Linked DNA regions of Macaca fascicularis. The protein of the gene in region 1 purifies or fractionates together with the protein of each later gene. This does not show direct contact. Links are inferred from orthologs where the notes say so. Each region holds a gene or a part of one and is shown on either strand. Other genes may lie near its edges. The genes, in order: RND3 and PLEKHG5.

Region 1 (3,810 bases):
CTCCCTCTGGTTCCTTCCATCCATAGCTTCCTTAGTTAGGTTCCTTCTTCACCTACAGAACCTGACTAACCTTTGCCTCCATAAACTATGTGTACGTTATAATATATAACATGTTTACAAGCCCTGCTTCTACATTACTAGAAAGATAACTGATCATAATTACTAGACAGATACCTGATCATCAGACAATTCACATTGGACACATCCCTATTCCTCCTATACTAGTTCCATTTCTGTTTCTAATACCATAACTAAAACACAGCTTATTAAAATAGCCATTATTGCATTCCTTTCACTAACTGACTTGAGGTCAAATGTAACTCTGTAAGCTAAGGTGCAATCGGTTGAGTCACTGAAAGAAGGAAGGAAGACATGAATATGATAGTAATCAAATATAACTGTTTTCAGCTGTACCATTTTCTCCCGAAAGACAAACACGCAGGCCCTTGAAAGGTATTCTGTTTCAGAGCTTCATGAAATAAAATTTCAAGCATGTTCATCATCAAAAAGTGGAAACCCCATTTTGGTGTGAAAGGGTTCTTTCTAGTGTTTAATTACAAATTGTAAGGCAGGGAATTGACTAGAGTCTTTGAGTTCCCCAGCAATCCCCATGTTTCTATTTATATATCACCTAGTACTGAAGTGTGTCATCATTCCCCAGCACTTGCCTTTTTGAGGACACTGTCCAGGGTCTCTGGTCTACTGATGTCAAAGCAAATCAGCACGGCATCCGAATCAGGGTAAGAGAGGGGGCGGACATTGTCATAGTAAGGAGAACCTGAGAAGAAACAAAGATACACAGATTTTCAGATGAGAGTCCCCTTGTCTGTCATGCATTAACTCTACCCTTTCGGGCTAAGTCCTTTGACTGTCACATCATGACCCAACCCCCACTTCCCCTCATTCTTGGAAAAGAATTTAAACAGACACACAAAAGCCTGCTTGGAAGTATATGATGAATGAAACCTCACATGTATCTGACATAAATTCAAGAGGAGGGCCTGGATCTTAAGGTGAAATCTGTATGGTTCAAAGACTAGGGCCTGAAGTTACCTGGGTGAAGTAGGGAAGCACCTGGGGCCAGGTGGTCTTGAGTGCAAACCTGCCTCCACCACTAAAGAGGGAGGGGGCAAGGTAGCTTTGGGACTCTGTGCTTCTGATTCTTCACTCATAAAATGAAGATGCTGACAACATACGTACCTGAGATTAAGTAAACCCAGGCAGTGCCTGGCTTTTAGTAAGGGATCAATACGTATTCACTATGGGTATTATGGTTGTATTACCGCTACTGTTAAAAGCTGAGTGGTAAAAAGAATCAGAAACTGAACTACTTCTTGGGAAAGAGACCTAAACTCAAGATAAATCTGACAGCAGGATGGGGGTGAATGAGGGAGAGCGGAAGAGGGAGGGTTCAACAACTACGCAAAGAGAAACCACAGTGTTACCCCATCTCCAAGTTGTAAGTTTAGATAGGCTATTGACCTTTGAGCTTGCTTATTTCAACTTATTGCCAAACCCTATACAGATTTTCTTCCTGTTACAACTCAGAATGTAATAAATGTCATACAGGATCATGTCACTTTTTTACAGAGTCCCATCTCTGAAGTGATGCTAAGGCATGATCCAAGGATCTTAACCTGAATTAAATCCAGGGTACCCTAAATGTTCAAGGCACCAGCCAATTACTTTAACCACAGAACTCTCTAGTCAATCAAGGAAGTTTTTCTATTTCTTTAAGAATTCCAAAGGATGGGCAATTACATGAGGACAATAGTTATGAAGTGATTGACTAGAAAACTAAATACAGCTTGTTTAAGAAATCGTTTTAGGTATACTGACATTTCCCAAGCATCACATGAAAATGATTTTACTAGGAAATATATACACACGTATGTATCTGACTCCAGAGTAGAAAAAGAAAATCTAAACCACCAAACTCTTTTTAAAAGTCTATTTCAATTTGACATCACTTTCCATTTTGAGCAGAAAAACAGGACATGTTGTCCCCTGATAAATCAAAACCTCAACAGGCAAAGTCAGGAAGAGAGACTTAAAAAGCAGCTTTAAAAAATATCACTGTTTATATTTCTATTAAAACAACATTTGCTTGGAGGCTGTTCTTGTGATCTAAAAGGCACTGCAGTCAGGGGGGCATCACCCTCTATTCACACAGTACACTCTGGGTCCCTGGCATCCGCTGCGGAACCCCAGGCAACAGTGCAGCTTTTTCCCTAGCTGCTTGACGATGGAGAGTGACAACTTCAAGCCACGTGTGTCTGCTAAGCAAGGAAGAAAAGAAAGTTACAAGAATCAGGAAGAAAAATGTGAATAAATAGAGAATTAAGTCAGAGCTGTTCATGAGCTGCAGCAGCTGCCTACCCTCATCTGGAACCAGAACCCTGGCAGAGCAGAGGCTGACAGCTGAAAGATATTTCTCAAAAGCTTAAAGGGTTTAGAGTTTAAAAAGTCAAGTCATTTTAAGTATGAAGGTATATTAGAATGAGGCTGTCTCTGAAAATGACAAGCTGTGGCTGCCTTTTCAGTCGCTGAAAGAACTCTGAGGTGAAGAGAATAATTCACAAATAGTTCACTCATTTGAACATTCGAGAGGCATCAGAAACTAGATGGTTGAACACTATTTACGGCTACATTAGTATTTCTGTATTACCTCTGAGAAGTTCACACTTTTTCAACTAGAACCTTTCCTGTTTCTGTGTCCAAAGTCTAACTCTAGCACAGCGCCTGCTGTAAACATTTGAATGACTCTTTCCAAACAGGGAGTCAAAAAATTCTAGATCATAGAGTGGAGCTCCAAATACTGGACACATAAATGAGAGTTTCCTCTGGTCCTCAAAGTCAGCAAGAGACGACCTGATCCCAGACCCAGGAAGGCAAAGTTGCCAACAGTTAGGATTGTCAGAAACCTAACGAGGCTTCAGAGATCTCTTTTCCCAGATATCACTCACAACACGAAAAACCACTGTCTCCCTGTGGAGAGCTTCCAGTACAAGCAGACCTGGTATCTTTAGAGGACAGTTCCAGGTACCTACCAGCTCCTTTCAGGATACGATCTGTATGATGTGAGAGTACTCACTGCTAATTCCAGATGTAACACTACTCTATGACAATGGAGACCATCTTTTCCAAATACAAAAATTAGGAAACGCGATTGAAGAAATACAAAGAGGATGAAAGAGTTTAATTGAAATTGAGACTGCCAGGAAAATCCTGAGGAATGGTTTCAACATTCAGGTCACCATGTGACTGCTGGGAATACCCCTCCCTTTGTGGACTATGTTTCCCATCCCCCACCCATTTTATGGCCACAAAGGAGATCTGGCTTTGTGCTCAGCCCTGTGTCACCTGCTGGAGACTGCTACCTACTAAAATCCAGCGGGCTGGCTTCTGTGCTTAGTGCATATATCCAAGTATTTGCAAAATTTAGACTCTGGCCTGATTTTAAAATGAAACAGGGTTCTCCAGTTAAACCAGATTCTCAGGGAAGTTTGTATCTGCTTTTGTTTTTACCTGGTTAACAGTACGAGTGAAAATACATATGTAGTGCAAAGGTTTATAAGAAATAAACCACCGTGCTTGTGGAGGTAGACAGGTAATTTTTCAGAGTTTTAACATGATCTAATTTGGGATGCCACTTTGATCCCATTCTATTACTTTTGCTAATGAACAGTGCTGCTTTTAGATCAACACAAGTGTCCAAAGGTACTAGTAAAACTGATTCCCATATTTTTTAGTTATAAGCATAATTTGACTGGCAATGACAAGAGTAATTTATTTAAAATAACAAGAACA
Region 2 (3,810 bases), on another chromosome or scaffold:
CCCGGTCATGCCCGCCACGCACCAGCCCCGCGGTGGACTTGGAGGAGGAGGATGAAGAGAGCTCTGTGGATGGCAAAGGGTAGGTGAGGGGTGAGTGGGCAGAGAGATACCTGGGGGGCCCCAAGGCTGGGTCTCAGATCAGACATTCAGGACCAGATGCTTTGGTGCCCTCTCCGAGTAAGGCTGACGGGCAGACCTCTCCCCACCCCTGTGGCTGTCCTGACTACGGGAAGAGGCCACCCAGCCTGGGCCAGCGTCCAGGGCGCTTGGGATCCTGGCCCACACCAGACCAGGTACCGTTCGGTGTGACTCCCATGTTGGCCACCAGAGGGCGCACAGCCCCATTCGGGCCTGGCAGGGTTGAATCCACGCGGGTTACCTGTCACCTGGGGTGAGCGAGGGGTGGGGAAGCCACAGGCCCACTCGCTGCCCACGCTGGTGAGGGCCACCCACACCTCCAGCCTCTGCCCTCCCTGCTTCCCTGCAGGGACCGGAAGAGCACAGGCCTGAAACTCTCCAAGAAGAAAGCAAGGAGGAGACACACGGATGTGAGGAGCATCCCCGGGACGGCACATGGGGGCTCCCGACAGCCTGCGCCCTTCCCTGAGCCTGGGCCTCTCTCCGGGACTGGGGTGGGGAGGTCTGCATCCCAGGCTGCAGAGGCCTGGGAGATCGCTGGGGTTCCCTTTCTTGCTGGGGTTCCCATCCCAGACCGGAGGGTGGGGAGGAGGATGGAGAGGAGAAGCTCACAGCTCCCCCCCCCGCCCCCATTCTCTCAGGACCCGAGCAAGGAGTGCTTCACCCTGAAATTTGACCTGAATGTGGATATAGAGACGGAGATCGTCCCAGCCATGAAGAAGAAGTCGCTGGGGTAGGGCTTGGGGGCGCTCAGGATGGAAGTGGGACTGGGAGCAGGGGTGGCCCCATGTCGCAGGTTCCGGGTCTCTGCAGGTGTGACCTGTGTGTCTGTGTGGTGGCCCATAAGCGAGCACATCCCTGCGTGGGCAGACCCGTGTGGGTGTGCACGCCACTGTGAGGGAGTGTGGCGGGGTCTGTGTACTTGTGCGTTTTAATCATGTATGTAGGAGCCAGGCCTGCGTGTGGGTAGGCGTGTGACAGGTCTGCCATGGTGTGCAGATGCGCCTGTGTGAGGACCTCTGCGGGCAGGTGTCTGTGGACCTGCGTGTGATCCCACACGGGCTTCCCTTTTCTGTTGGGAAGGTGGGGGAAGGTGGGGGCAGCTAGGGCTGTGGGTGGGGCAGGGGCTCGTGGGGGCAGGGCCCAAGCTGAAGCGACTGGCTGCCTTGTTCTAACACACACGCCTCCTGTCCTGGGGGCAGGGAGGTGCTGCTGCCTGTATTTGAAAGGAAGGGCATCGCGCTGGGCAAAGTGGACATCTACCTGGACCAGTCCAACACACCCCTGTCCCTCTCCTTCGAGGCCTACAGGTTCGGGGGACACTATCTTCGTGTCAAAGGTGAGCAGCAGCCTGGGCCAAAAGGGGCCGCTGGGGCTGGCGGAGCCTCCTGGAGATGGGCACCTTCCCAGGCTCAGGTTCCCATTGGCTGTGGGCCTGAGCAGCCTCATTACCATACAGGTGTCTCTGCGGGTGCTGCTTGCTGGGGGGAGAGGCGGGGTGGGGGGAGGGCTGGCAGGGCACGGCTGTAGGGGGAGGGCAGGCAGGCCTTGGTGTGGATCCTTCAGGGAGAGAGGACTGGGGCCCCCTCCTCCACCAGACCTGGGTACTGAGGATCTCTCATGGCCCCCACACGCGACCCCAGCCAAGCCTGGAGATGAGGGCAAGGTGGAGCAGGGCGTGAAGGACTCCAAGTCCCTGAGTCTGCCGATCCTGCGGCCAGCTGGGACTGCGCCCCCCGCCCTGGAGCGTGTGGACCCCCAGAGCCGCCGGGAGAGCCTGGACATCTTAGTGAGGAGGGGGGGGGTGTGTCAGGGGAGGAGGTGGGAAGGGCCCCAGGCTGGACCCACAGCCCCTCCTCAGAGGCAGTCACCCTGGGTCTCTCACTGCCCCCTCTTGGGGATTTAATTGCTCCTTCTGGAAAGTGGGGCTGGCTGTGAGAGTAAGGGACCCTCTCTCTCTGGACCTAGCGCAAGGTGAGGGCTTGTATCTGAGACTCTTCTAGTGCCAGCGGGTCAGGGAACCTGTGTGTGCATGTGTGCGTGAGAGAAGTGCCCCGGGCTACAGACCGCCCAGAGCTGTGTTCCAGAGTGCATCTGAGTGTGTGTAACTCTGCGCTTCATGCTTGAAGCTGGGGGACTTGGGGCTGATAGTCTGGGCGTATCTGTGTCTGGACCTTCCAGTCTCCAGACATGTCTGGGTCCCAGGAGAGGGGACACCCCAGGGTAGAGATGCAGAGACCCTCCTCCATCCCAGGCTGGCCTAAGGCCCTGGAAACCCACCTTGGGGTGGGGCCATGGGGGCTGGCAGGGGGTCCCGGCCCTGACCACCCCTCCCTGGTCAGGCCCCTGGCCGCCGCCGTAAGAACATGTCGGAGTTCCTGGGGGAGGCGAGCATCCCTGGGCAGGAGCCCCCCACGCCCTCTAGCTGCTCTTTGCCCAGTGGCAGTAGTGGCAGCACCAGCAGCGGCGACAGCTGGAAGAACCGGGCGGCCAGTCGCTTCAGCGGCTTTTTCAGCTCAGGCCCCAGCACCAGCGCCTTTGGCCGGGTATGTGGCCCCATCTGCCCAGGGTCAGGCAGCTGGCTGGCCGTGACCTCTGACCCTGACCAGGGTATCCTCCCAGGAGGTAGACAAGATGGAGCAGCTGGAGGGCAAGCTGCACACCTACAGCCTCTTCGGGCTGCCTAGGCTGCCCCGGAGGCTGCGCTTCGACCATGACTCCTGGGAGGAGGATGATGAGGACGAGGATGAGGACAATGCCTGCCTGAGGCTGGAGGACAGCTGGCGGGAGCTCATTGATGGGCATGAGGTGAGTGCGGGCCACAGTGCTGCTCCCTCCTTGTCCCAAAAGGAGGACAGCCCTTGGGAGGAGGATCTAGTGATGAGATGTTCTATGGGATGCCCCAAAGAGGCCACTGTTATTATGAGCCCACTTTGGAGACAGAGGCTGGATGAAAATGGTGTGCTGCTTGGCTGTTTCAATGGCAGAGGAGGGCCCAGATCTTGGGTGTCTTGACTGTGATTATTCACGTGGTATCAAGGGTGACCCTGCTCCTCTTGGGACCTCCGTGTCCCCGTTGGGAAGATGAGAAAGCTGCGTGCAGTTTGCTTATCCTCCCTGGCCACCCGAAGGTGCTCCAGGCCTCCTTGTTGACCCGTCCTGCCCTCCCTGTAGAAGCTGACTCGGCGGCAGTGCCACCAGCAAGAGGCAGTGTGGGAGCTGCTGCACACGGAGGCCTCCTACATCAGGAAACTGCGGGTGATCACCAATGTGAGTAGGGGCTGCGCTGGTCCCCGTGGTCACCCTGCCCCCCTCTTTCTGGTCTCTTTCTGACAGCCCTCAGCTGAGTGGGAGCCTTTGCAGAAGGAGCAGGTGCCTGGCAATGAGGTGGGGGCAGGAAAGTCAGACAAGGGCTGTGCCCAGGGAGGAGGTGGCTCCTAGAGGAACCTGGGAGGGGGCTTCAGGCAGGTTTGCCAGGTTCAACTGAATTAGCACAGGTGCGGCTTCATTCTTTCACTTTCGTTCAGTGGCTGTTTCCCAACACTTGCTGTGTGCTGGGTGCCCAGCAGCCCACACCCTGGACAGGCCAGAGTGAGCCGGCAGTGTAGGGATTTCGGCTTAGGAATGGGAGCACCTGCCCTGGGCTTGGAGCTTCCTGGAGGGAGGAAGCAC

The links.
Region 2: the proteins of RND3 (region 1) and PLEKHG5 purify together in Homo sapiens (affinity purification with western blotting; 3 studies listed by BioGRID and IntAct, with this or other methods). This does not show direct contact. The link is inferred for Macaca fascicularis from reciprocal best matches to the Homo sapiens genes RND3 and PLEKHG5.

Annotation. Positions count from the first base shown.
Region 1 is NC_088386.1:46,025,095-46,028,904, forward strand, and holds part of RND3 (rho-related GTP-binding protein RhoE), read right to left. Parts: intron 779-3,810; coding exon 669-778; intron 1-668. UniProt on the Homo sapiens protein: Binds GTP but lacks intrinsic GTPase activity and is resistant to Rho-specific GTPase-activating proteins.
Region 2 is NC_088375.1:228,398,607-228,402,416, forward strand, and holds part of PLEKHG5 (pleckstrin homology domain-containing family G member 5), read left to right. Parts: coding exon 1-79; intron 80-487; coding exon 488-548; intron 549-779; coding exon 780-871; intron 872-1,340; coding exon 1,341-1,477; intron 1,478-1,736; coding exon 1,737-1,927; intron 1,928-2,480; coding exon 2,481-2,684; intron 2,685-2,760; coding exon 2,761-2,946; intron 2,947-3,312; coding exon 3,313-3,408; intron 3,409-3,810. UniProt on the Homo sapiens protein: Functions as a guanine exchange factor (GEF) for RAB26 and thus regulates autophagy of synaptic vesicles in axon terminal of motoneurons. Involved in the control of neuronal cell differentiation.